Linked DNA regions of Coturnix japonica. The protein of the gene in region 1 interacts with the protein of each later gene in a biochemical or structural test. Links are inferred from orthologs where the notes say so. Each region holds a gene or a part of one and is shown in the gene's direction. Other genes may lie near its edges.

Region 1 (3,998 bases):
CAGCCCCTGGCTTCCAGTTCTGAGTCAGTGCACTACCGAATAGGTATTACTGCAGTATGTTAAATAAAAACCCAGAAGAAAACAAAGTATTTCCACTTTTCCAAACCTAAAACTTACAGACAGTAGGAAATGCATACACTGAAAATAATCCCCTGATGTGCCAAGGCAGAAGTAAGACTTCAAGCCCATACAAATAGATAATTCTCATAAGATTTAACACAAGGCTTCCAGTCTCTGCAGAGATTGTTCTCATAAACAAAACGCCGCAGGCAGTTTTTATCTGTGAGGAGACCAGGTAATTTGATGTATTCAACTCTAATCTATAAATTGCCTTCAGTATACAAATGGAGACTTTCAAAACGCTGGATGACTAAGAACCGTGAGGCAAATTTGGGATCTTCTAAATCTCCTAATGATGACCAAGTGATCAGGAGTTCTTAAAGATAAACTGCTGCGTGCTGGGGCACCTGGGCTTACAGTGACTCTCTAAAAGCTGTTGATCTTATGACTGACTTACAGCATCGAACTTTTTAATAAAAGAATCTCGGGATGAAATAGGAGGTGACATGCTTGTTTGAACTTGCTCTGTCTTGAGACTTACCGAGCACAGCCTATACCACTGCTTAGTGCATTCCTGGGAGGGAAAGGGGATAAAAAAAACGAAAAAAAAAAGAAGTAGGGGTGAAAAAGAATTTCATTTACCTCCGTCACCGCTAAGAATCTGTTCAGAAAAGCATTTACTTCTGTCACAGCGGGACACAAACTGACGTGAGGTGAGCGACTACACGGCGCAGAGAGGAGCTGGAGAAGGGGAATGCAAAAGAGAAAGCAGTCAGCAGTCAGTCAGCAGCCGGAAAGAACTGAGTTCTCAGCTACAGGAGATTGCAGAGAGCAGAGATCAAATTCCAGATCCACTGCAGGGCCCGCGCTCTGTCCTCACACGAGGTGCCCGCGTGTGATCGCGCTTAACGGGCACGGACGAGAGGGAACCGGCTCGGGGTGAACGGAGCGGGTCTAAAGGGGAAAGGAAGGAGAAGCGGCGGCTCCTCCTCACTGACCCGTTCTCTGTCCGCTCGCCCCGTTCAGTTACTTCAGTCCCGGCTCCCGCCCCCAACCCGCTCCCGCCAACGGCCGCTGTAGCGCGAGCCCCGACCCGCGCGGCGCCCGCAGCCCCGGGCACAGCTCGCCCCAAGGCGGCGGGAGGCGGCGCCCGGCCGGGAGGCGGTGCCTGGCCGGTAGGATGGGCCGGCACCGGGAGTTTATCCCACCAGAAGGGAACAGTTTCTCCGGCTGAGACTTGACAGCGCCAGGTCAGTGCGGGCGACCGGGGGATCTTCCCCCCCGCGGTGAGGGGACGGCGGAGCATTGAGGGGGACTGGCGGTGTGGGGGCTCCTGAGGGAAGCGGGGCGGCTGAGGAGCCGCTGTCGGGGTGAGGGAGCTGCGCCCGGCGTGGGCAGGGGGCTCGGCACCGGGCCTGGGCACGAGGCCACGCCGGCGGGATGCTGAGAGTGGCGGGGAGGGAAGGTGGCTCTGAGGGAGCGGGAGGCGGGGAGGGGGATTCTCCTGGACGAGCGGTGGGGCTGAGGGAGAGCGGGACACGGCCCGGGTCGGGGGTGGAGGAGAGCAGCCGGGACACAGCGCCGTGGGGCCGCGTGGGCGGGCGGACGGGATGGGGTTGTATTGTAGTGGACGAGGAGGAGAAGCGAGGGGGCGGGAGGACCCCGCGGGACGGCTCCAGGTGCGCTGCCGGTGCTCGGGGGCGTCGTGCCCGGCGGTGAGCGGCGGCTGCGGCCTGTGGGAGGAGGGAGAGAGAAGGGGGGAGGTAGGGGTAAGTTTGGGGGCGGCTGGAGTTAAGGGGAAGGGTCTCCTCCCCGCGGAGCTGCTGCGGTCTGGGCGCATCCCACGGGGTGACGGGCAGAGCGCCGGGTCTCATGTGGCACCGCGTTACAAGGGAAAGGAGCCGGGAGCTCGCTGGTGGTGCTCACCTGGTCCATGAGCTTAATGAATGAAAAGAGGTTTGGGTTGTTTTTTTTTTTTCTTTTTCCTTTTTTGTTTGATTTCTCAACCGCAGCGAGTCAGGGAGCCCTTATGAGCCTGCAACAAGTGAGATGCCGTGTTGAAATATGCAGTGTCTTGATGGTATGCCTCAGGTTTGCAGGGGCGTTTTGTAATCTTCCTGGTGTCATTTCTCTCCAGGGTATTCTACAACTGGAGAGTGCAAGTTCCTGTGGTGTTGTAACTTCACGGCAGTGTGTACACACGAGCATACAATGCTGACTTAACAGTGATGTATTTATTAATAATCAGTGACGTAAGGCTTGTATTCACTCTGAAGAGCTCAGGAAATGCTCAGTTTCTCCCTTTGCTGTAGGTGCCTTTAAATTGGAGGGATGGATTACAGTTATCCTGGCTATAACTGGGGCTGTGGGCTGGCATTCCATCTGCAACCTGCTCCCCCATCTCTGAACAGGCTTTTACCATGGAACATGATTGCAGTGTTCCATTAAAACACGAGTATCTAAAGCAAAAATATGTGTATTTCTGGTAGCAATTAATCAGTAATTTAGCTTTTAATACGTGACTATAATTTGTTACTAGTTAACTAAAAAATTCTAGTGTACATCAGCTGTGTATGTCGTGGCACTCAGTGCTGTCCTTGGGAAAGGAGTTTCGTATGTTTTGCTTGCGTTAATAGCAGGGTTTATTGCGTGAAATAGTGTTTGACATCATTATTCTCTGTGGCTGTTACAAAAAATAGCTGCAAAAATGCTCAGAGATTTAATTAAAAGTCTGTAAGAAATCTCAGTGTGTTAAGGCACGTGATGCAATGTTAGCATGAACTTGACAGGAGGGAGAGAGAACTGGAAAAATAATTGGCATGGACTTTGATAACCAATGATATAAATACATATAATTTCAAGGGATTTTTACATAGCGTTTGGGTATTCTTGGACATCAGTTTTGTAGGATATACCATTAACTCTTAGTAGTTCAGCGGCCATTTGTCTGTAAATTGCTTATTTTAGCAATGTCTGTGTCAGAGTCCTGGATATCACAATGTATTGAACAGTATTGCTCAGTGAAACTTCAATTACTATGTGATTATTAAACAGATAATGATCATTCTCCTCTGATTTAAATAGTTTGTATAAGGAAATATCTCAAAAAGTAGGTGGCAGGATATTAGAGTTCAGTTGAATATAGGAGCAATGCCTTTCAGCTTTTCATATGATATCAATTAGAAACCCGCTACTGATGCTGTTTCTGACTCTTCGGTGAATTTTTGGAGGTACCTGTGTCCATTTAGAAATCAATACAATGTAGGTCAACCTTCAATTATTATCAGTATATAATTTTCTACTTCTAACAATGACTAATAGGAACCAATTTTGCAGGAAGTTATATTGTAGGAATAGGGGAAAGTTTACAAGTAGAAAGAAAAATCTGTATTATACTAGACTGGAATACGTAATTGAAAGTATACTCTGGGATTTTGTTTTCCATCTTCCATTTCTGGAGCCTCCTTTTTCACTTAGTACCATCCTGAACAGTTCATGTATTTACTAGCCATGGTTTGGAGCCTAATAGTGCATCACTAGATATTTGCATTTGATATTCAGAACTTGAGCTTCTTTCACTCGCTTTTATCGCAGGAGTTTTTCAAGTACTGTCCTCTGCCATACAGTAAAACAGTTTCCAGAGCAGTTACTCAAAAGAAATTAAAATGCAATTATTAATTCTCCACGCTGGGTTCTCTTGAAGTCAGGGATACAATACTCTCCACTGGTAGTTGTTACTGGTTTCATCTTATTAGTCACTGGTAGACGTGTTTAATAACAGACTCTGTCCCAACTTAGCATGATATTAGAGGATTCCTAATTACTCTCAACTGTATTACCATAACCATAATTATTTTTTTTTATTTTAGGGGTCTGTTTTTCAGGCCCTTTATACAGATGTTCTCTGTGTGTCAATTAACTGTTTGTCAACTGTAAAA
Region 2 (3,978 bases), on another chromosome or scaffold:
GGAGCCTGCTGCTGGCTGCACTGTGGGCATTGTGCCATGACACCTGCAGTGATGGCCCTAACTGCAGGCTGTGCTTTGGCACTGCTGCCTCACATTGACAAGGGCATGGCTGTCCTGTCAGGGCACCCAGCTGGGTCTGCCTCACACGGCAGCATCACTTTCCCTTTTACACAGTGCTGTGCTGCCCAGTATGGGGCAAGCTACGCTGTGGCACACCATTAATAGGAGTCTGGCCTTGTCCAATTGCCTCTTGCACTTGAGATATCTCTCTCAGCCTTCTCTTTGATTGAGACAGGGCAGGTTTAGGTTGGATTAGGTTGGGTTTTGCACCCAGAGGGTGGTGACGCACTGAACATGTTGCCTAAGGAGGCTGTGGATGCCCCATCCCTGCAGGCATTCAAGGCCAGGCTGGATGTGGCTCTGTGCAGCCTGGGCTGCTGGTTGGTGACCCTGCACACAGCAGGGGGTTGGAACCAGATGTTTCCTCACACAGGCAGCACTCCACGCTCCTTAGGGGCGGCCTTTAACAAGCGGCGCTCTGACCCTCGCACCCCCCAACGTTGCAGCCGTTCCTCCGCTCCTCCAGGCGGCGCTCGGGGCGCCCATCTCGCGAGAGCGGCCGTTCGTGTCCCGACAGCGGCGGTGCTGAGCGCGGAGCGGGGCGCGGGCAGCGCACGGTGAGTGCGGGCTGCGGGCCGGGGGTCGGTGCGCTGCGGGGACTGGGGGCTGCGCCGTGCCGGGACTGCGGTTCGGAACGGGATTTCTGTTGTTCATCGAGCTGTATGTTGTTCATTGAGCCCTTCCCCCCCCCAACAGCGGCTCCTCCGGCTCCCACGCCCTCGCTGTGCGCCCCGTGTGAGGACGGGGCGGAGCGGGGCCTGGCCGCCTCGATAAGACGCGGAGCTGCCCGGCCCAGCCCCGGGGAGCGCCTCGGTACCTGCTGCCCCTCGGTACCTGCTGCCCCTCGGTACCTGCTGCTGCTGCTGCCCCTCGGTACCTGCTGCTGCCCCCCGGTCCGCCCGCTGAGGTATTTCGGGGCCGCTGTGAGGCAGGGACGGGCGTCCTGAGCGGCTGCGTTGTTGACTGAAGGGGCTGAGGAAAAGGAAACGAGCGATCCGGCTCGTTCCGTAACGCTGCGTGCATTTGGCTGTTGATTCCTGACGAGGCAGAACAGCCATTTTGCGAGAGCCGGAGGGCGGCGTTTGCTGCTCTTTGTGGAGGGCACGGCGGTGTGGTTCTTATGTAAGGAATACGGTCTGTGATCTATTCGTATTGCTTTGTATATGTGGCAGCTTTGGGTATAGCCGTGTCACTGCCTTTTTGCTTGGTTTTCTCTGACTTTCATACTAACGTTTCCAGATGGCTTCTGAGAGGTTGCACTCCTGCAGGCTGTATATCAGGGAGTTGAGTTTGAGTCCTGGTTATAACCTAACCCAGGGCTTGAGGGTGGTTGATTTTAAGGCAAAAAAGGGAGAATCTAAAGGATGTTCTAAGGAGTACGTTAGCAAGGTGAAGGGTGTGAAACCTTGTAGAGCAGCAGCTGTGAATGAGCCAGGCTGTGTCAGTACAAGGATAGAATTGCAGCCTTGCCAGGCTGGTCTTGCCTTCCCCATCAGCTCTGCAGAGCCTTGCCCAGATCAGCTCCCAGCTGCTGCAGTTTGCTGGCTAGACAGAAATGCAGGGGCACGTGAGCAGCAGGGAGGATTGCCTCAGCTCCTGCGGTTGAGCCTGTTGGCAAATATCTGTTGGTTTTCCTGTGGTTGCATAAATTCCTTGTGCCAAAGCACCCCGGAGTCTGCTGTTGCTCTCAGAGAAAGCTTCAGCTCTGCTCACAGAACTCAGTCGCTGTGGGGTCTCAGGCTTTGTTGTTGCATTTAATAGTGAAGCAACATCGATGGCTCTTCCCTTCCTCTTTCCTTAAGGAAGAACGGAAGCTTCTAAGTGTTTTTTTTCCTTGTGCTTTAGGAACACGCTGAGAATGAGTCTGCCACAAGACAGAAATAGAAGTTCTTGCAGCAGCGAGACGCTGGCAAAGTGCCTTCAGGCGAGGAAGGACTTGGAAACAGCTATCTCTGGAATTGTCAAAGCCGAGCAGCAGATTAAAGAGAACTGGCGAGAGGTAATTCTTCATTCGTTAACGATGCATTAATAACTAGTCTGACTTCACTGGCAGTTTAAATAATTCCAGAGTACTTTCTGTTGGGAGGGTGATCTGAAGGTTTCCAATAGATGGGCAAGTCTCTTGGCCTGTAATTTAGGCATGCTTTAGGTGAGGTTGTTTTGTACTTCTAGCCCAGGCATGTGGCATTTTCTAAAGCTTCTGGCTGAAGCATCTGAGTAAAGGGATGTTGTGAATAACGTTGTTATTTGATCATCTTTAGAGGCAGCTTGGAAACTTGCACTGACTTGTGAGTCATGTGGCGTTGTGGGTTACTGTGGTTTAGAGCTTGAGGAATAAATTGGTACAAAAATACCACTTGTGCCTGAGAAATAGAGTTTTGTAACCTGCCCAGCATGTGCTTGTTGGTACCATCTGACAGATATAACAGCAATGAATAATGCTATAATGCTGCCTTGCAGGTTAAAGCCAAGATTCACAGCCATATCAGCCGCCAGCTGGAATGCCTGCGCAGCCGTGAGGTGTGGCTGTTTGAGCAGGTAGATCTCATCCAGCAGCTGAAGGAGGAGGCGCTGCAGCAGCAAGCTCAGCAGCTCTACTGGGTAAGAGGTGGTTGCACTGGGATTTTAAAATGAACTGCATCTTTGTAGTTATCTTGGTTTTAACTTGAGAAGCCCAAACAATAATGAGTGTTTTGTCTTCCACACAGTTCTTGGGACAGTTCAATTGCCTTATTCATCAGCTGGAACACTCCTACAACAACGAACTAGCGAACCAGATTTCAGTTTGCCTGGAGAGGTAAATATTGATTACAATGCGAGCTAATACAGTCGGTAATTTATTTTGACTTAGAAATTTAACCCTATTTGTGATTCTAGAAGAACTAATAATTAACCTGAATCACCATTTCTGTGTTTTAATAGTTCATAGTTGAGAGTCTTTAAGCACTTTGAAGTATGATTCCTCTCATCTGCACCTTAGATTGGTAAAAAACAAAGCAAGACCATAGAAAGGAGTAGGTGTGCTCATTTGTGCACATCACTTCAGATTTTCATTTGAAGTAAGAAGGAAGAAGTTGTGCTTTGCTGGTTTCTTTGCTTTAGGTTGTGAATTTACATCTCCTTGTTTTTGTACAAGCAGTAAAAATGTTTTGTTTTTGTTAATCAGTGCCAAGGCAGCTGTACAGGTGTAGAAGTTAAAAACATAAGGCTGTAACTCTCATCTTGCTCCTTCAGACTGGAAAGTCTCACTCTTAAACCAGAGGAGTCTTCTGTCCTGAATTTTGAGGCTGACACATCGTACCTTCGCCAGGCCATTACCTCATTTGGTTCAATTAAAACAATGGTAAGCACAGAGGCTTTACTGGGTTGTAGTACTTAAAGTCTTAAATACTTAAATAACTTTTGTGGACAGGTCCCATAGTTCTACTCATTCAATATTTAGACAGTAGTTTATTAATTACTGCTCTGATTTTGGCTGAGCTTAGTTCTAGTTACATATTATGTTACTTTGGTTGTGTTCATACTCTTTTCCAGCAAAAACTAATGTTGATTGTGAGAATCTAAAGGAAATCTTACATTGTGGGAAGGTATCTCTGCTGTAGAATTATTTTGGGGTTCTTATGTAAGCAGCGTATCTCGTGTATTATTGGAGATCACTCTCTTAAAGGCAGTGGAATGGAACTAGTCTTTTTGTAGCAAGTCTTTATTGTGTTCTGAATAATGAAAATCATTGGCTGTTAAGAGTGGATCAGTTGTGACTGCACTTTGCTTCTGAGTCTTAGAAACTGAAAACAATGGAGATTTAACCTGAACTGTACTTCTCTCTTTTTCTAGCAAACCTCAGAGAGAGAGATAACT
Region 3 (3,218 bases), on another chromosome or scaffold:
GCTGTGGAATTGCCTGGGGTGGTAACACAGACATGGCAGGTTTCCTGCTTTTGGTACAGGCCACAAGCCAAAGTGCAGCTCTTTAACAATAGCTGTGGAAATCTCCTGTTTGGTGAGTGGGGGAAGTTGGATGGGGGACAGATGTGCAGAGAATTTGTGTGTATGTGTGTCTCTGGCTGGTTTGTTTGTCCTACACTGATGTTCTAAACAATCTGTTACATATTAGCCTTGGCTTCGCATGCCAGTAACTCTTTTTTTTCCCTCAGGTAAATTTGAACCACCATTATTCCACCCAAACGTGTATCCTTCAGGCACAGTGTGTCTCTCCATCTTAGAGGAGGATAAGGACTGGAGGCCAGCAATCACAATTAAACAGGTCATTAGTTGTACCTATGCATATAATTATGCTTCTTTCTCGCTTTGCCAGTGTGTCTTACATGAATGTAAAATGCTCATTACATGTTTCTACGGTTGGGATTTTTGGTGTGAATGTAGTGATTTATTTTTTTTTTCCTTTTGTTGCATGTTTCTTCATCACTTAGTAATATCCGTGCTTCTGTTGCTTCTGTACCTTCATCCACAGATCTTGTTAGGAATACAAGAACTTCTAAATGAACCAAATATTCAAGATCCAGCTCAAGCAGAGGCGTACACAATTTACTGGTAAGTGTGTGGATCACCATGAGAGCTGCATGTTGCCTACAGCTGTCTGTTGTCGATGGTACATGCAAATGTTTGGGGGAAGGATCAAGGGAGCTTTTCTGCCTTCATGGCTATGTCCTGTTGAGATGCCCAGCTTATGCTGAACTCAAGCTAAGTAATACCTCCAGCATTTATAGGCTAATGGAACTTTTAACAGTGTGACAACAGAAAACATGAAGATGCGTTCAGTTGGACCATGATTCTCATCTTGGTCTCAGACCAGTACAGATTCCAAAGCATAATGATTTCATAAGAACAGTGAAAGTGAGAAGGAAGAGAGTGGATTAGTTGACAAGTTCCATTGGTAAATACAGGGGTAATTTAGTTCTGTCCAGCAATGTGCACCTATAAGTGCTTGTGCCTGAAGGTTGAAGAGCTGTGGTTGTTAGAAGGATTTTATGAGCTTTGAAAACTGGTGTTCAAAACTGTTTTTAAGTGTATAGGAGGCCTGGAGCTTTAGGGGAGTTAAAATTCAAACCAAAAACCCCACCGTTTTTTAGGCTCAATCTTAAAATATTCCTATCATTAAAAATAGATTACTGACCCATAATTCTTAAGGAAGCAGTACACTCTGTAAACAAATGCTTTTGGCACTGACAGCTACTGAAATAACGACTGAAACAGAAATGCAAAATTAGACTGAAGAACAAGTCTTCAGGAGAGTCCCAAGGTAGAAAAATAGCTTGTATGCAGAGTCTCATAAAAAGTCATGTCAGAAATGTCATACAGGACCACAGAGAGAAGGAATCATAGGGATGGATGGTGTGTATCCTATTTATAGACCTTACTCAAGGGTATTCTTTAAGTATCTCTGAAGACTGGATGAGTGTGTTCAAATGGAGGATGGTTGTAGGCAGTGCCTTAGGGAGCGAGGAATGACAAGGCAGACCCACCTTCTTTTCTCCTCTTGGATAAGAAAAAAAATAGTCTATGGAAATATGGAGCAGGAATAGAATAATTCTCTGAAAGCGTACATAGCCCATGACCCATTTTATACTTCCCCTCATGTGTTTATGCAAAAACCATCTCTGCTGGTCTTGTTCCTGCATAACTGCAGAGGCTGTGAAGGCAGGTTGTTAATTTGTACCTCAGTGACTGGTTGGTACTAATTGATACTGACTCACGGATCTTGGACTTGTTCTCATTTTTGGGGTTGCCTTTGTACTGTTTTTCTGCAGTACTTCAGGTGTGCTGTGTACCTCCTCCTCTCCTGTAGTTGTGCAGTTTGCTATGGAAGGTGTTCCTTTATTCGGGTGCTCTGAGTTGGGAGAATTAACAGCTAGAAACAGGAGGGAATTTTGCAATTCGGCCTTATTTCTCAAGCTTTAATTGCCCTTTCTTGTTCTTCTATTCAGCCAAAACAGAGTGGAATATGAAAAGAGGGTTCGAGCACAAGCCAAGAAGTTTGCACCATCATAAGCATCTGTCATGCAGCATCTTAAAAAGGAAGGGATTGGTTTGGCAAGAACTTGTTTACAAAACTTTTGCAAAATCTAATGTTGCTATGTACAATTAATATCCACTTAGGGGAGGGGGTTGTATGTGTGCCATTTTCCATATTCGCCACTTGTATACAGTTCTAAATTTGCTGAATTGCCCCCAGTTTTTTCATACAGGGTCTCTTCCTTCAGTCTTTTGTATTTTTGATTGTTATGTAAAACTTGCTTTTATTTTAATATTGATGTCAGTATTTCAACTGCTGTAAAATTATAAACTTTTATACTTCTATAAATTCACTAGTATCTCTAGTTACTTTGCTATCTGATGCAGGCATGCTTTAAAATGTTAGAACTATATTTAGCCTTTAGCTGGCTGTATGGAAAAATAAAAATCATGCCCTCCACCCCCTTCCCTCCCTGAATTTGTTTTTCTATCTTTCAGAAACTAGGTTGTTATTGCTTAAGAGCCTCTGAGATCCAAAGTCAGCCAGCATCCTTATTCTGCATCACTTCCTTTGTGTTTATATGGCATTGTCTGTGTTGCTGTTTAGAGTAAATAAACTGTTTATATAAAGGGCTTTGTTTCATCCTCTTCATTAAAAGGCCGCTGTTTAAGCAGCTCTGAACACAACTCGGTTAAAAGTTGTGATGCTTTACTTCTCAGCTGCTGCCTCCTTTATTTTCCCTGTCCCTGATGTAGAGGTGGTCTGTCTCTGTGCTGATTACTGGCAGCTATTCTATAGTTGACCAGTTCCTTAAGCACCTTATAGAGTTGTATGACTAACTAGGGATCAATTGCTTATTGTATATTACAGACTGGTCTGATCACTGGAATATGGAATGATACAAGCATGAATGAACAATAATAGAAATGCTCTGAAGATGAGGGGGCCTACAGGATCTGGGCATTATATGTACTAAGTAACATTATGGGTTGTCTTCCTATCCAGTGCTGTTGAAGGGTTTGTGGAGAGGTTTATTTGAAATTTGAAACCAATTGGGTGCTTGAAACTTGAGAGTATCTACTTAAAAGGTAAAGGAAGAAGAATACAATTAGTAACAGCTCCTCAGGGGCTC
Region 4 (4,157 bases), on another chromosome or scaffold:
ATAATTCCAGACCTCAAGGTATTTATTGGCTGGTGACAGTAGTGGCATTTTCACAGGGCAAAAAACAGGGGTGGTGAGGTCAGGGAGCGTTAGCACAGGCTCCCATGGGAACCTTGGTAGGCACCTTCATGGTTTTGTCAGCTTTTCTGGTGAAAACATATATTTTTGTGACTCTATTGTTTTAAAATGCTTGGTAATTGGAGGATGCCCTAAAGATGCCCTGTGCCTGCCTTCAGTGCGCATTCATTTCTGGACTGCTGGGAACTTTCGTGTGTTCTAAGTCTCTCTCCTGTTTGTAAGCTTCCTGAGGTACTTGAAGGCAATAATAAGGTGTCCCCATAGCTTTCTTTTCTCCATGCTGAATAAGTCCAGTTCCCACAGCCTTTCTTCATAGGCTCCAGCCCTCAGATCTTCCTTGTAGCCCTGCTCTGGACCTTCTTTAACAGCTCTATGTCTTTCTAGTGCTGGGGGCCCAAGATCTGTAACACTGGTTCCATGGAAGGGCTGCCTGATGTCCCCATGCTCATAGATGCCAGGCAGCACCTCCTGTAAGTACAAGCACAAGTGGTGATGGCTTGACTGATGGATGGTGACTGATGGATCCAGCCTGGTGCCTGCAGCCAGGAGGTGTCTGGTGGGACTGGAGGACCACACGTGGGAGCATCTACCATCTGTGGTAGATGTCAAGGAAATGGGATTTGAGCAAACACTGCTTTTGATTTTGAATGGGAGATAAACTTCATTGTGAAATTCGTGCCTTATCTGAGGAAATGCTGAGGAATTGGGCATGCAGCAAGAGGACAGAGTGAGTGCCTTTCTGAGCTGTTTGCTGATCTCTTCCAGTGCCCAGCACAGTTTGCTGCATCTTCACTTTAAAGTTTTAAAACTCTGCTAGGATTTTAAATGAGCATGGCGTGGTGTGCGCGTGGTGTGGCTTCCTTTGTTTGCCTATTGCCATGTAGCCTGGCCAGCTCTATCAGAAACCCATCTGTGAAGCGCATTTTAATGGTTAGATCTAGCAATGATTAGAGTGCACCAATGCCCAGTGGGTATATGTGTCATTTTTTAACAGCTGCTAAGCCTTCTCCCTGCTGCTCCAATTAACACACTGGGCACACGCTTGCCGCTGAGTGGGCTGTGTGTATGGGTTAAACCACTCTGCTGGTTGTTCTCCCGGTGCGTGCGATGCCAGGAACGGAGCCATGCATTTCTTGTCCGTAGAACAAAATGAAATCAAACAGAGCCCTCAGCCCGTGCCTGCGTAAATGCGAGGACAGATTTAACTGACAGAGGGAAACCTGCCTCGCTTGTGGATATGGTTCAGTCCGCCGACTCGCATCTCTCCCCGCCTCCCAGCCCCGCTTCAAATGATGGAGACAGAGGGCAGCGAGCTCCCGGTGCCGGCTCCTCTGCCTGGCAGGCAGCGCACTCCAACTTTCCTCTGTTCAACAACTGCTCGCAACCCTCAGTTCTCCCCTCCCATCAGTGTTTCTTCCCTTTATCTATTTTTATGTTGAGATATTCCAGTCTGTAGATTTTATAAAAGTCCACCCCTCACCTTCTTGTTGTTTTTTTTTTTTTTAAGGAGGGGGAAACAATATGCTTTGCAGCCCTAGCTGAGATCAGGGTTTTTAATGGTACCAGATGGTGGAAGGTCACAGCGTTCCTGCGGTGCTGGCTGCTGCCCCGTGCCCGGGCAGCTCTGTGTGAGGTGGGGGGCTGCTGGTGGGCGCTGAGGCCATGGAGCGCTTCCTGGGCTTCGTCAAGCAGATACGGAGGTCAAGGAGAAGAAAAGGCAAAAAGTACCGCCCGGAGGAGGATTACCACGAGGGCTATGAGGATGTCTATTATTACGCTTCTGAACATTTTCGAAGTAAGTGTTTCGCGTAACCTCGCTTTCCTTTAGTTGTGATAAATGTTACATTTGTAAGATTCTTTAAAAACAAAACCACCCTAAAGGCCAAACAGCGTCCCTCACTTTATAGAACCTGAGCCCTGTGCGAGTATGAAAGCTTCCAGCTATAGATTTGTCTGTCTGTGGCTGCTGATGACCTGTGTGAAACAGCTGAAGTGGCACAAAGCTCCCAAAGTGAGCAGGGTCCGTCAGCCTGGTTAATATTTCAGGTGCAGTTAATTGAGTCTGAGCGCTGGAGAGCCGCTGTGAAACACTTTGTTTTGAGAATGGATCGGCTGGTGGTCACCCTTGTAGGATGCCTTTGTACTGTGGGTGTTTTTAAAGCAGCGTAGAGGCAGCAATCTCTCATTGGTGGGTTCAAGTTGGTGATTAATGCATGCTGCTGAGCGAGAGTCAGCCCTCTGAGCCTGCAGAAAGTCTCTCCGTGGGCTCCTTTGTTGGGGAGCACCCGTGGGGTTGTGTGGTGGTGGTGGTCACGTGGCTGCAGCAGCTCACCCCAAACCCAAGTAAGTTCTGATGTCCCTTTGCAAAATGTGTATCCACTGGGTTTGTGCTCAGCACCTGGCGGGCTTTGGTGATCCTTGTAAAAGCTTTCTGTTGTTCCGACCAGCAGTTTGGGAGCTCTGCAGCGAAGCTATTTTTGAGCAGCTGGAGTTTGATGTGCTTTTTCATCCTTTTTATTTATTTTTGCTGGGGCAGTTGTCACATCCTTTTCATGCCATCCAGCTTCATTTCCATTTAGTCTGAAATAAGAACCATCCATTTGTTTTCAGACAAAATAGTGAACATGGCTTTACTCAGCAGCAACAGAGTGCTCTATTCTCTGGAAAACATTGAAGCTAGAGGTTTTCCTCTCAGCTTTAAATGCACCACAATTGCCCATCTGCAAAAGTAAACTAATACAGAGTGATTGATTTTTTTTTCTTTTTACTGCAGTTCTCCCTTATACATTCTTTATCTTTTTTCCATTTCAAAGCACATGTATCCTGCTGATAAACCCTTATGTTGTTAGGACTGAGTTTTTATGAGAAAGACCTATTTTCAGGGGCACTACAATCATAGCAGCTGTCTATCACGTTGGCATATAATACACAAGGACTAAAAAACGTACTTAGCACTGAAAAATGTGAAAATAATGCAGGTCAATGAAAGCACATAACTTTTTGCTTTAATATGCAAATAAAAGGAATGTGTCAAAGCAGGCTGTCAAAGTATTTCCCCTAACTGATTGTTAGTGCTGAAGGTCTTTTAAATAAGAAAGCAAAACCCCTCCCAACACTGTCACATGTCATAAGGATTTGTTGTGTGTTGATTAATAAATTATTACTCTTGACTTAATGCAAGGAACTAAGAGCGAGCCAAATGTCTAATAGGTTTTTCATTTTATTCTCCTTAGAAAATAAAAGGATGTAACACCCCTCAGCCCCTGGGGGTTGGAAATATTTTAGTCTGGGTGAGTGCATGTCTGCTTTTGAAGTGTTGTTTTTACTGGTGGTCATAACCCTCGCACTGAGCAAGCAACACAGTGCGCGGTCCTATAGAGTTGGGTGCACGAGGAGTTGCAACTTCTCACACTTACTAACACAGAGCGTGTCGTGGGAGGTTCAAGCTGTGTTCATTAGGGAGCCTGTGCAGGCAGTATAGCAAACACAACCCCTCCTCCTCCAGGGCTTCTTTTGTCCGCTCTTTCCGTGTGCTGCTTTGGTTGGGTAGGTGTGGCATCTGCTGTGTGTACATGTAAGAAGGATGCTGCTGGTGCTACTGTGAACGCTCTTGTGAAACTGGATTTCATGTAATGGAGACAATGAAGTGTTTATCTTGAATGTAATTATGATCTGGTATTATCCTGTTTACAGTGCAAGTTTAGAGTAATTGCAGAGCTTTTAATAGTCATTCCTTCTGCACTTGTATGCTTGAGGGATGCGTGCTTGAGAATAAGGTTGCACTTATTGGTATGATTCTCCAAATATCAGAGCTAATGAAATCAAAGACCTGTTGTTCATTCAACCGAACAGAGTAGGAGCTTGTTCAGGTTTTGTTCCCTCTCCTTGCTTTGTCACTCATCCTTCCCAAAGGGTCTCCTTTTATGAGCTACGTAACCAATTAGTGAGTGCCTTTGGAGATTGTCTGAGCCAATCGCTCTCTAGGCTTGCTGTTCTCTCTTCCCCCCATACATAGTACTGCTTAGGGTACTGCAGGGAGATGGAATTCATAAAAAAACTGAGGAAGTGCATTAGAATAG
Region 5 (3,951 bases), on another chromosome or scaffold:
CCCATTTGTGCACCAAGAGCTGCGTGCCCTTAAATCACAGAATCAATCACAGAATGACCCGGGTTGGAAGGGACCTCAAGGATCATGTAGCTCCAACCCCCTGCCTGGCAGGGCCATAAAACATACACATTTACTAGATCAGGTTGCCCAGGAGACCCCATAGATCCCCATAGAGACCCCATAGACCCCATAGACCCCATAGAGACCCCATAGACCCCATAGATTCCCATAGAGACCCCATAGACCCCATAGACCCCATAGAGACCCCATAGAGACCCCATAGATCAGGTTGCCCAGGGCCCCGTCCAACCTGGCCTTGAACACCTCCAAGGACGGGGCATCCACAACCTCCCTGTGCAGCCTGTTCCAGGGCCTAACCACTCTCCTAGTGAAGAACTTCCCCCTAACATCCAACCTAAATCTTCCCTCTTTTAACTTAAAACCATTTCCCCGTGTCCTGCCAAATCACTTGTTCCCATCCTCACAGGGTTCACCAGGCACCCCCTGTGTGAGGAATTCCTCACAGGCCCCACTGGAATCCATAATTGTGTGCTGTCATTTAACTAATGCTGATCAAAACATACAAATTCCAGAGCAATTCAAGGTAAAAACCTATAAACCTGCCTCTCACCTACCCAGCATTACTCCTTCAGCACAATGGGCTGCTGCCTTTAGGTTTAGTCTTTCAGTTCACCACCTTCCTTAACTGCAACAACACCGATCTCCTGTCAACAAGGTTAGGCAAACAGCTGCTGATAAAATGACTTCCAGGTTGCTCTTTCCAAGGCCATTTGCCATGGGGTCCTCGCTTCAGACGAACACCCTGTGTGTGTATGTGTGTGTGTGTATGTGTGTGTGTGTGTGAACTCCTTGGCAGCGACAGCTGCCAGATAGCACAACCTGATTGCAGCGTGGGGCCTTGGTGCCATGGTACAGCCCGGGTTAATGACTTTGTTTATACTGTTTGGGTAATTGTGATAAGGCTGCCCAACCCGCTGCCCCTGCTGGGGTTTCATTGAGAAAACGGCCATTGACGCCATGCTGAGATCCTGCTGGTTCCAGCCAATCAGTCTGGGGACAGCTGGGGTTGGTGGCTTTTTTTTTTTGTTGTTTTTTTTCTTCTTTAATGAGGACCGCTTAATCACGGAGCGGTCAAGGCTGGGAAGGGGTGTTCCACTTGTGACCGAGCCTTATAAGAGCTTGTTTGAACAGCCATGTGCTGGCAGAGCTGGGAGGACAGGTCACTCCCAGATTGAGACGGGGAGGAAACTTACAGGTCTCTCCCATCTGCGGAGTTTCACAGAGGATCCGGGGCTCCCAGTTCTGCTCTGATGACCAGCAGCATAGACATGGACTGCGAGAGGTGTCAGTGCCAGCATGAAGACAAACACCCAGCCATTCTCTACACCCTCCTCAGCCAGAACCTGAGCCACAGCCCACCTCACCAACGCTGCCTGTGCCACCAGCGCTGGACGGTCTGCCTCCGGACACCCCATATCACCTGCCAAGCTGCATCCGACGTGTTGGTGAAAACCATCAGCTTCATGAAAAACCTCCCTTCCTTCCACCTGCTGCCTCGAGGGGACCAGCTCCTGCTGCTGGACAGCTGCTGGGTCCCCCTCTTCCTCCTGGGGCTGGTCCAGGAGACGGTGACATTTGAGGTGATGGAGACCCCAGCCCCCAGCATGCTTGAGAAGATCCTCCTCGATGGCCAAAGCAAAAGGCAGGAGCCTGAGTGGACTCAGCCCATGCTGGCCGCTGTGCAGTGGCTGCAGTGCAGCCTCAACACCTTCTGGAGCCTGGACTTGAGCCCCAAAGAATACGCCTACCTGAAGGGAGCCATTCTCTTTAATCCTGGTGAGTGTTCAACCCTCCCAGCTCTGCCTGCTGGTGGCAAGAGAAAGCCCTGCATGAGTTAGCATTTAAAAACACTGCTCTTGGCTTGGAGTCGCTCAGAGTTTGGGCAAAAGTGTGTGTGAGAGCAGGGAGAGCTGCTCACATCATTAGCACCAGCAATGCAGTTTACCTCTGGGAAGCAGGGAGGAGGGATACTGAAAATGTAGTGTTTAAAAGCAGAGACCTCCTTACCTTGCAATCAAAGAACCCTGGGTCTTACTCTACAAAGCCCATGTTTGCTTCATTAGCTGTATTTACTCCCTCAAAGCAACAGCCCTGAAATACATGTTGTTAATGGCTCTGAGGTTTTTCTCCAAGATACGGGGAGAGAGATGGGAGAAACCTCGAGCTGTTTTCCAGCCTTCCTCTTCACATCCTTCCCTCCTTTCTCTTGGCAGATGTCCCAGGGCTGACAGCCTCCCTGTACATCGAGAGCCTCCAGCGGGAAGCCGAGCGAGCGCTTCAGGAAGTTGTGCAGATCCTACACCCCAAGGACCAGGACCGCTTTACCCTCATTTTACTCATCACCTCCACCTTGAAATCCATCCCTCCTGCCCTCATCACAGACCTCTTCTTCCGACCCATCATTGGCAACGCAGACATTGTCGAGCTCATCGTGGATATGCTGTATGAAATCACCAGCTGGCAGCCGGCTCCTTCACCACGCGTGGCTCTGTGAGCTGCTGTGCTCTGCCACAGCCCTGGGGGTGCTCAACAACACCTGGCAGGGCAGCAGGGAGGACTGTGGAGCAGGCAGTCAGGCACTCAGCTCCACAGGGCTTTGCGTGTGCCTCTCTCTAGGCTGTAGGGCTCAGAGCATAAAGGAAAGCAGCCTTGATTCAGCATGGCTGCTCCACCTCTGCCAGTCTGTTTTGAGGAATGTGAGTGTGTGTGGCTGGTGGTACTGAGTTTCTAGCAAGCAGGCCAGCCCTGTGACACAGAGCAGACTGAGTTAGAGCCTGCTCCAGGCTTTTTATATCTCAGTGAATCCTCAGTTCAATTAAAATCAATGTGTGTTTTGTTAACTCCATGAGATGAGGTTGGACCTCAACTTGCTGCCCGTGATGGCTCTGTGCTGATAGTGGTATTTAGGGGTGCTGAGTATCTTCGGTGGTATCACTTGTAGAGTACAACCAGGTGCAAGCCGTAAGGAATTAGATCTTTAAGTATCAGCCAGTGTCTGCTGTGCATGAAATCTCACAGACAGCCACCAAGAATCCTCCTCAGACAGCAGGAGGGAGAAGCATCAGATCTTACAGGGCGTGCAGCCAGCTTCATGAACGCCTCCTGCCTCTCATCACATCGCATCTCCTCCCCACGATGCCATGAGCTGCAACAGGATTGCTCACAGATTGGATTACCTAAGAGCAGTGAAACGTACGGCAAATAACGCTGCATGAACACCACTTCATCCTCCCTATACACCTCAATATATATATGGCAATACTTGGAATGGCTCAGGAACACACTGAGCTACAGACACTGAACAAACATCCCTGCCTTGAGTTCCAGCTGGTTCAACATAGTAGGAAAGCTCGCTTCTCCTGCCTGCAGCTTTTGTCACTGATGTCAGTATTTAATGAGCGGACCTTCATTTGATTTGTACATAAGATGCAGTAAATTATTTTTTTAATAAAAACGTGTCACATTTTGGTGATTTTTTGTTATATTTCTGGCATTTTGGACTTGTAGAAATAGCTGTTGGAGGTACAGTGTGGGAAGGACACCTGAATGCAGGGATGGAGCATCATAGGGAATCATAGGGGAGCATTGCAATGCAGCCCCATGAGCTGTGCTGGGCACACACTGCTCTGTGCACTGAAACCTGCAGAGGCAGCACAACTGCAGCCTGTCTGTGCTGCACCTTCCTTCACGCACACAGCCACACCTGGAGGTGCTGATGCAGGAGGTTGGTGCTGACTCACCTGGATGTGCACACACAGCCCTCAGCCCACAGGAGAACAGCCATACAAAGCCTCCTGGCTCCCCACCACCATAAACACACCGTGTTTGAACAGCAGCCTGCTGGGAGAACTGTGTGCTGCCCATCCGTGC
Region 6 (3,500 bases), on another chromosome or scaffold:
AGCTTATTAGTATTAAAGGACAGAACATCTGTCATAACATGCTCATTGTTTAATGCTTTTATGTAAATATTGGGTTTTCTTCTTAAATATTAGCACAATGTGCTGGGATAAGACATTTGGATAACAAGTTAGATTTATATGCTGATCATCTCTGGTTATGTGCTACTCTAAACGAGCATATTTCTGCAAGCATATCTTTTCAATGTCTCTAAAACTGGCACATAAAGATGTTTATTTTACCTTGTGAAACTTCAAATTATAGGGTTTTTTCTTTAAATAAAATGATGTTATATTGCTTTGTGCCGTAAACAAAACTCGGCAAAGTCACAGTATGAACTTAAGCTAATAACATTTGTGCCTCTCTGAAAGGTAGAAGAAAATCTGTAAGGATATAGGTAGATAACTATATATACACAAGACTTGGCTTCTATTAAAATAAAAGCTTCAGAAATAAATCTTTATAAGTTTTCATTTTCACTGGATTGTTCAATGGAAACTGGGATGATGATGTCCAGGGCACAATGGAGCCAAAAACAACTTTTCTGAGAAGCATTCAGTTTTGTAAAGGTGCATATTAATACAAGTGCACTATGTTCCTGGACTTCAGAACCATAGTTAGCTTAAATTTCCTCCTGGCTTCAGATGTATCACGTTTTTGTTCTCATCTTCATGGTTTTTGTTTTTTGGGTTTGTTTTTTTTTTTTTGCTGCTGCTGCAATGGGCTTGTTCACAAACGTTGGTCTCTAAGCATTAGTTCCTTCGAGCACACACAAAAGAATCCTTTATTATTACGTCAGTGGTCTCAATGACTTCTTTTGTGATTGCTTTTTGTTATTACTTCAGGTAGATAGAACACTTTCTCCTGTAGACTCACAAAGTCACTTCATCTTATCTTTCCTTCACTGTAGCCCATTATACTTTCCCTTACTCTTAGATATTTGAATGTGCCTTTCCTCCATCTTCTGCCTTTCCTGTACTGTGAGATCTTTAGGTCATGACTTTTATCTATTTTTGTCTGTCCGTGCAGAGATGTCAGTATCATGTAAATAGCTCGTTAAGCTGAACTGTTTGAAAGTATTCTTTTTGAGAGGAGACACCCATTATTCATTACCATATGTTAAAACTAGCAGAGGATGGAAATCTTTGAATTACACTAAGTGAGAACCAGTAAGACAGGCTTGGTTTTTTTAAACTTTGCAAGTCTTCGGTTTTACTATCAAAATGCACTGAAAGCTGCTGCAGAATCTTTCATTTGCTAAGATCTTATTATAAGATATCTCTGAGTAAATGCATGCAGTTGGTTCTCATAAGCAGTTACTGCTGAATTATGTCTACAGTGTGAAGTACAACTCAGCCCTCTTGTGGTTATATGTAGGGGTGCAAGTTCACCAGACGTCTTTACTGTTTATTCATAGCTTTTCCAAAACTTACAGAGGTTCACAAATTGAATGAGAGTTGTTGAATGTAGTCAGCTTCCAGAACTAGTTCGGTCTTCTGCTTCTTCAACAGCACAAAAAGTCTTGTCCAGAGTTATCTGTATAGAGCAGGAGTATCTTGCAATCAAGCTTATAAAGAGAAAATACAGTTTCTCCTATATAACTTCAGTACTTTTCCTTCTCCTGGACCAATGTCTGCAAATGAATCCTTCATTCTCTCTGTAGTTAGGAAGCAGACCTCTTAATAATGTTTCGATTGAATTCTGTGAGGTCAAGTGAAAAGTTATAACACAAACAAAAGTAGTCACTGTCAGTCTGTTATGACAAGCCATTTTCCTACTATGACACCACTAATAATACCAATGCCATTAAAAGAAAAGAAAGTTCTAAGGAAGCATTTTTGCCAGCACTGCCTGTCTCTGCTTTTTGTAGTTCTAAGTAGGAAATAAACAAAAGCAACAAAACAAGGCACAATGCAGAAAAAATACCATCCCATACACAAAAAACTTCTCCAGAAGTACATAGAAAGTCAAGAATGTGTTTCTTCACCGTGGTTAATGCATCTGTCTGTCTTGTTTAGTGGAGAGTGGATTTGTACATTCTGTCGGGATTTGTCCAAGCCAGAAGTTGAATATGATTGTGATAAACCAACTCACAACCCTGAAAAAAGAAAACTGGAAGATACTGTGGGCTTGGCACCAATAGACCGTAGGGTAAGGATGAGTCCTGTTGTTTCTTTTACTGAGAAATGTATGCATTAAAAAAGAAAAGGAAAGAAAAAAAAAAAAGGATAGTAAAATGGAGAAATAACTATTTCAGTAGGCTCTGAGATCTTAACAGCCTTCATGTAAACAAGCTGAGCAACACATTCTGAAAGTCTGAGAAGTGGTTGTTTTTTCCTGCTCTGAACGGGGACTGTATTCTAGGAATTGCCAAGCACTGTTTCTAACATTGACCTCATACACAATGACCTTTTTCTTCCTTTGTACTTTCCAGATTCAGTATAGATTGACTTTATTTACTACACTTGGGGGCACAGTCTACATGTAGGGCCATTATTTGTATTTGACGCATTGTAAAAGGGAATAACTAACTGTGTTTGTATTTGGCTTTAAATATAAATTATAATTCCTGTAAATATTCCAGTGGAGGATCATCAAGAATAGAATCAGAAAAACTATTTTCTGAATCTCTTTCAAGGTTCAAGATTCCATTTAATATGCTCAGGTACACACAGAACAGAGATTTCTCCCCACCACTAACAAAAAGCACAGTGGGCTATACACCAATTAGGAAAGCTATTACTGATTTCTCTGAATGTTTATAATAAACTAACAGCCACATATGCTGCTATACAGCACATTTTTATTTTTTATATACCACACATTTTTATCCCACATAATGTTTGTTGGACTTGGCAAACGCTAAACAACACTATTAGTAACTATATGAGGTTTGTAACATGTATTTGAGTGTTAATAAAAATATAGTGTATCAACTGCAGAGAATGTATGCTGTAGACCATTAGTTATGGTAAGCTTGTTTCCAAATACAGTTTCTGTGCTCAGTTTTCTGCTGAGAAATTGGAGGAGTACTGAGAAAGTACTGAACATCTGCTTGATGTTTTATATAGATCATTATTTTAGAATAGATTGTGTAGTTTTTTATTTGTGTATTATCTATCTTTTTTTCTTGACACAGAAGTGTGAAAGATTGCTGCTATACCTCTATTGTCATGAAATGAGTCTTGCTTTTCAAGATCCAGTTCCACCTACAGTATGTACTTCACTTCTTTCCATTTTCTATTAATCAGTAGCATAATTGGCATGGTCCTAATGGCATTGTTATGCTCATTATCAGAAGTCAAGTTTTGTGGACATCGAGTGTATTGAATGTATTTAATTTTATTAAAACTGTCTGAAGGGCAATTGAACAGTTCTGGCACAGGCTGACCAGAGAAGCTGTGGATGCCCCATCTGTGGAGTTGTTCAAGGCCAGGTTCGATGTGGCCCTGGGCAGCTTAAACTGGTGCCTGGTTTAGGGGTTGGTAACTGCCCACAGCAG
Region 7 (3,940 bases), on another chromosome or scaffold:
ATCGGTGCCAGGAGGCTGGGAGCGGCCGAGAGCCCCACAGCTGCCCCACAGCTGCCCCACATCTGCCCGCCAGGCGCAGGCACGGAGCTCATCCATCCTCCATCCCTCCATCCCTCCATCCCTCCATCCCTCCTCCCCCCCCGTTCAGCCGCGGTTCCGCTCGGTCCCGGTGCCGCCGCCGCCCCGTCCCGTGTCCGTAACCGCGGTTCGGGGGGCGGGGCCGCCCCCGGTTTCATCCCGGCGGGTTCGAGCCGCAACTTCGGAACCCGCGGCCCAAACTCCCGGTGCCGCCCCGCCGTGACCCCGGAGCCGTCGGGGGCAGGAAATGAATCACGGAGCCGCGCTGCGCCACCGCGGGACCGAGCGGCCCCACGGGGACACGGGAGCGGCCCCACGGGAGCGGCCCCTGGGCCCGGCCCCACTCACCCCATGGCCCCGTTCCGTCCGGCGCTTCCACCGCCGCGTCCCGCCGCTCCGTCCGTGCCCGTTCGCCCCGGGGCCGTTATAGCGGCGCTCTCGGGCTCGGGGCGGCGGATCGTGGCGCGGCGCTTTGTTCCATCCCCGCGGCGCTGCAGCCCCGGGGCTGCTCCCGGCCACTCCTACGGGCGGGGGGGGGCGGCGGGGGGGGTCCGGGCGGCAGCGGGGCGGGTTGCGGGGCACGGCCCGGTCCGGGCGGGGCGGCCGGTGTCGGTAGCGGTGCCGTGTCCGCAGCGCCGCCCCCGGCCCCACCCGCCGCTGTAACGGGGCCGGGCACCGAGCGGGAACGTGGGATCAGGGCGGGGGGGCGCCCCCGGTGCCCGCAAAGCGCGGAAGCGCTGCCCGGTACCCGCTGCCCGGTGCCGCCCCGCCGTGCGCTGTGCGCCGTGTTGTGCCCGCGGAGCGGCGGCACCGACCGAGCGGCTCTTACCGGGACTCCGGGCGGAGCGGGCGGGCCGGGAGCCGGAAGCGCAGCCGGGAGCGGACACCGAACCCGGAACCGCACCCGGAACCGCCCGGCGGCGGCGGGGATCGAACCCGCGGCACAAGGAGCGGGGGGCGGGGACAAAAGGGGCGGGGCTAAAGGGGGCGGGGCCGCTCGGCGGCGTGGCGGAAGAGCCGGTACTTCCGGGAGGCGGGACGGAAGTGGAGGGGCTGCCGGGAGGGGCGGCGGAAGGGGCGGGGATACGAGGGCGGGGGCGGGGCCGGCACCGGGACCGGAGCGGAACCGAACGGGACGGAACCGAAGGGGACCGAACGGGACCATGCAGAAATACGAGAAACTGGAGAAGATCGGGGAAGGTGCGACGGGACCGGACCGGGGCGGGGCGGGGCGGGTCCGGTGTGGGGCCGCTGGGCTGAGCCGTCCGTCCGTAGGTACGTACGGAACCGTGTTCAAGGCCAAGAACCGGGAGACGCACGAGATCGTGGCGCTGAAGCGGGTGCGGCTGGACGATGACGACGAGGTGAGGGCCGGGATCGGCACCGGGATCAGCGACGGGCCGGGTCGGGTCGGTTCAGTTCGGTTCGGTTCGGCTCGGTCCGGTTGTGCCCGGTCCGGTTGTGCCCGGTGCACACGGGGCTGCTCGGGGCCGGTCCGAGCCGTGCGGTGCCGCCGTGCAGGGGGTGCCCAGCTCTGCACTGCGGGAGATCTGCCTGCTCAAGGAGCTCAAGCACAAGAACATCGTCAGGTGAGTCCGGTGTGTGATATGGGCTGTGTGTGCTATGTGCTGTGTGTGCTCTATGTGCTCTATGTGCTCTATGTGCTGTGTGTGCTCCTATGTGGCTCTAGGTGTGCCTCTATTGTTGCTCTATGTGCTGTTGTGGCTCTATGTGCTCTGTGCTGCTCTATGTTGCTCTGTGCTGCTCTATGTTGCTCTGTGTGCTCTAAATGTTTGCCTCTAATGTGCTGTGTGTGCTTCTATGTGCGTCTATGTGCTCTATGTTGCTCTATGTGCTCTATCGTGCTCTATTGTGCTCTATGTGCTCTATGTGCTCTATGTGCTGTGTGTGCTCTATGTGCTCTATGTGCTGTATGGGCTCTATGTGCTATGTGCTCTATGTGCTCTATGTGCTCTATGTGCTCTATGTGCTGTATGTGCTCTATGTGCTCTATGTGCTCTATGTGCTGTGTGTGCTCTATGTGCTCTATGTGCTCTATGTGCTCTATGTGCTCTGTGTGCTCTATGTGCTCTATGTGCTCTATGTGCTCTATGTGCTGCTGTTGGTGCTCCCCGCCCGGTACCGACCCTTTGGTGCCGCCCCCCCAGGCTGCACGACGTGCTGCACAGCGACAAGAAGCTGACTCTGGTCTTTGAGTTCTGCGACCAGGTGAGCGCGGATCCGGCCCTAATGACACCCCCCCCCCATAAACCCAACCCCGTCCGTGCCCTGATGGCAGCACCGCCCCCTGCAGGACCTCAAGAAATACTTCGACAGCTGCAACGGGGATCTGGACCCTGAGATCGTGAAGGTGTGTGTGTGTGTGTGTGTGTGTGTGTGTGTGTGTGTGTGTGGCCACATCCCTCTCTGCTCTGCCCTCTGAGGCCCCATCTGCAGTGCTGCGTCCAGAGCTGGGGCCCCCAATACAGGAAAGACAGGGAGCTGTTGGAGAGGGTCCAGAGGAGGCCACAAAGATGCTCAGAGGCTGCAGCACCTCCACGACAAAGACAGGCTGAGGGAGCTGGGCTTGTTCAGCATGGAGAAGAGAAGGGAAGGCTGCGGGGTGAGCTCAGTGCAGCCTGACAGTGTTTAAAGGGGATTAGAAACAGGAGGGGAATCGACCTTTCACAAGGGAAGGCAGTGACAGGACAAGGGGAAATGGATTTAAGCTGAAGGAGGGCGGATTGAGGGTGGATGTCAGGGGGAAGTTGTGTACTGTGAGAGTGGGGAGGTGCTGGAACAGCTGCCCAGAGGCTGTGGATGCCCCGTCCATCCCTGGAGGTGTTGAAGGCCAGGTTGGATGGGGCCCTGGGCAGCCTGGGCTGGTATCAATGTGGAGGTTGGTGGCCCTGCCTGTGGGGGGGGGTTGGAGCTTTGTGATCCTTGGGGTCCCTTCCAGCCTGTTCTGTGTTGCTGTGCTGCTGTCGCTGTGGCTGGTGCTGGCAGTGGTGCTGTGCTGACTGTGGGCTGTGCTCTCCCACAGTCCTTCATGTACCAGCTGCTGAAGGGCCTCGCGTTCTGCCACAGCCGCAACGTCCTGCACAGGGACCTGAAGCCGCAGAACCTGCTCATTAACAGGGTGAGTGCTGGGCTGGGGGCAGGGGCACCATGTTACCCCCCCCCTGTGCCCCTTGGGGTCCGCTGGGTGCTCCCTCAGCCCCTGACCCCTTTCTCTCTCTGCAGAACGGGGAGCTGAAGCTGGCAGACTTTGGCCTGGCACGGGCCTTTGGCATCCCGGTGCGCTGCTACTCAGCAGAGGTGAGGAGGGGGCTGCTGGGATGCACATGGGGGTCCCGGCATTGCCCGCTCCTCCCGAGCATCCCCTGTGCCCCACGCAGGTTGTCACGCTGTGGTACCGACCCCCGGACGTGCTGTTTGGTGCCAAGCTCTACTCCACCTCCATCGACATGTGGTCGGCTGGATGCATCTTTGCAGGTAGCTGTGGGGCCGGGGGGGCTGTGGGACGCCTGGGGCGGCCATCGGGGCTCACCCCATCGGGGCTCACCCCATCCATCCCTGTGCAGAGCTGGCCAACGCGGGGCGGCCGCTCTTCCCAGGGAACGACGTGGACGACCAGCTGAAGAGGATCTTCCGATATCCTTTGGGTGCTGTTGGTGTGGGGGGGTGAGGGCAGAGTCCCGCAGCTCCCCGTGGCCCTTGACAGCCCCGCACGCTGCTGGGCACCCCCACGGAGGAGCAGTGGCCGGCCATGGCCAAGCTGCCCGACTACAAGGTGAGGGGTTGGGGGGCACGGTGGGGCGGGGGGGGGCGGCGTGGGGCCCGTTGCTCACAGCTGCCCCCA

What was found.
Region 2: the proteins of PPARG (region 1) and NCOA4 form a complex in vitro, tested with the Homo sapiens proteins (2 studies listed by BioGRID, with this or other methods). The link is inferred for Coturnix japonica from reciprocal best matches to the Homo sapiens genes PPARG and NCOA4.
Region 3: of the proteins of PPARG (region 1) and UBE2I, one has a biochemical effect on the other in vitro, tested with the Homo sapiens proteins (2 studies listed by BioGRID). The link is inferred for Coturnix japonica from reciprocal best matches to the Homo sapiens genes PPARG and UBE2I.
Region 4: the proteins of PPARG (region 1) and GRIP1 form a complex in vitro, tested with the Homo sapiens proteins (2 studies listed by BioGRID). The link is inferred for Coturnix japonica from reciprocal best matches to the Homo sapiens genes PPARG and GRIP1.
Region 5: the proteins of PPARG (region 1) and NR0B2 form a complex in vitro, tested with the Homo sapiens proteins (2 studies listed by BioGRID, with this or other methods). The link is inferred for Coturnix japonica from reciprocal best matches to the Homo sapiens genes PPARG and NR0B2.
Region 6: the proteins of PPARG (region 1) and TRIM24 interact in a test that uses a peptide from one of them, tested with the Homo sapiens proteins (2 studies listed by BioGRID). The link is inferred for Coturnix japonica from reciprocal best matches to the Homo sapiens genes PPARG and TRIM24.
Region 7: of the proteins of PPARG (region 1) and CDK5, one has a biochemical effect on the other in vitro, tested with the Homo sapiens proteins (3 studies listed by BioGRID, with this or other methods). The link is inferred for Coturnix japonica from reciprocal best matches to the Homo sapiens genes PPARG and CDK5.

What each region holds. Positions count from the first base shown.
Region 1 is NC_029527.1:3,220,360-3,224,357, forward strand, and holds the start of PPARG (peroxisome proliferator-activated receptor gamma), read left to right. Parts: upstream 1-1,198; 5' UTR 1,199-1,310; intron 1,311-3,998. UniProt on the Homo sapiens protein: Nuclear receptor that binds peroxisome proliferators such as hypolipidemic drugs and fatty acids.
Region 2 is NC_029521.1:1,953,843-1,957,820, forward strand, and holds the start of NCOA4 (nuclear receptor coactivator 4), read left to right. Parts: upstream 1-1,178; 5' UTR 1,179-1,240; coding exon 1,241-1,242; intron 1,243-1,965; coding exon 1,966-2,119; intron 2,120-2,580; coding exon 2,581-2,721; intron 2,722-2,828; coding exon 2,829-2,917; intron 2,918-3,354; coding exon 3,355-3,463; intron 3,464-3,954; coding exon 3,955-3,978. Other genes in the region: translation initiation factor IF-2-like, read right to left, coding at 524-957, 998-1,178. UniProt on the Homo sapiens protein: Cargo receptor for the autophagic turnover of the iron-binding ferritin complex, playing a central role in iron homeostasis. Acts as an adapter for delivery of ferritin to lysosomes and autophagic degradation of ferritin, a process named ferritinophagy.
Region 3 is NC_029529.1:7,286,290-7,289,507, forward strand, and holds the end of UBE2I (SUMO-conjugating enzyme UBC9), read left to right. Parts: intron 1-266; coding exon 267-376; intron 377-583; coding exon 584-663; intron 664-2,057; coding exon 2,058-2,121; 3' UTR 2,122-2,718; downstream 2,719-3,218. UniProt on the Homo sapiens protein: Accepts the ubiquitin-like proteins SUMO1, SUMO2, SUMO3, SUMO4 and SUMO1P1/SUMO5 from the UBLE1A-UBLE1B E1 complex and catalyzes their covalent attachment to other proteins with the help of an E3 ligase such as RANBP2, CBX4 and ZNF451.
Region 4 is NC_029516.1:31,457,797-31,461,953, reverse strand, and holds the start of GRIP1 (glutamate receptor-interacting protein 1), read left to right. Parts: upstream 1-1,357; 5' UTR 1,358-1,740; coding exon 1,741-1,873; intron 1,874-4,157. UniProt on the Homo sapiens protein: May play a role as a localized scaffold for the assembly of a multiprotein signaling complex and as mediator of the trafficking of its binding partners at specific subcellular location in neurons.
Region 5 is NC_029538.1:1,621,961-1,625,911, reverse strand, and holds NR0B2 (nuclear receptor subfamily 0 group B member 2), read left to right. Parts: upstream 1-1,151; 5' UTR 1,152-1,331; coding exon 1,332-1,857; intron 1,858-2,294; coding exon 2,295-2,575; 3' UTR 2,576-3,553; downstream 3,554-3,951. UniProt on the Homo sapiens protein: Transcriptional regulator that acts as a negative regulator of receptor-dependent signaling pathways. Specifically inhibits transactivation of the nuclear receptor with which it interacts.
Region 6 is NC_029516.1:55,909,481-55,912,980, forward strand, and holds part of TRIM24 (transcription intermediary factor 1-alpha), read left to right. Parts: intron 1-2,016; coding exon 2,017-2,149; intron 2,150-3,137; coding exon 3,138-3,212; intron 3,213-3,500. UniProt on the Homo sapiens protein: Transcriptional coactivator that interacts with numerous nuclear receptors and coactivators and modulates the transcription of target genes.
Region 7 is NC_029517.1:281,036-284,975, forward strand, and holds the start of CDK5 (cyclin-dependent-like kinase 5), read left to right. Parts: upstream 1-1,140; 5' UTR 1,141-1,241; coding exon 1,242-1,278; intron 1,279-1,353; coding exon 1,354-1,442; intron 1,443-1,599; coding exon 1,600-1,667; intron 1,668-2,246; coding exon 2,247-2,307; intron 2,308-2,392; coding exon 2,393-2,449; intron 2,450-3,121; coding exon 3,122-3,217; intron 3,218-3,321; coding exon 3,322-3,396; intron 3,397-3,476; coding exon 3,477-3,573; intron 3,574-3,662; coding exon 3,663-3,732; intron 3,733-3,810; coding exon 3,811-3,871; intron 3,872-3,940. UniProt on the Homo sapiens protein: Proline-directed serine/threonine-protein kinase essential for neuronal cell cycle arrest and differentiation and may be involved in apoptotic cell death in neuronal diseases by triggering abortive cell cycle re-entry. Interacts with D1 and D3-type G1 cyclins.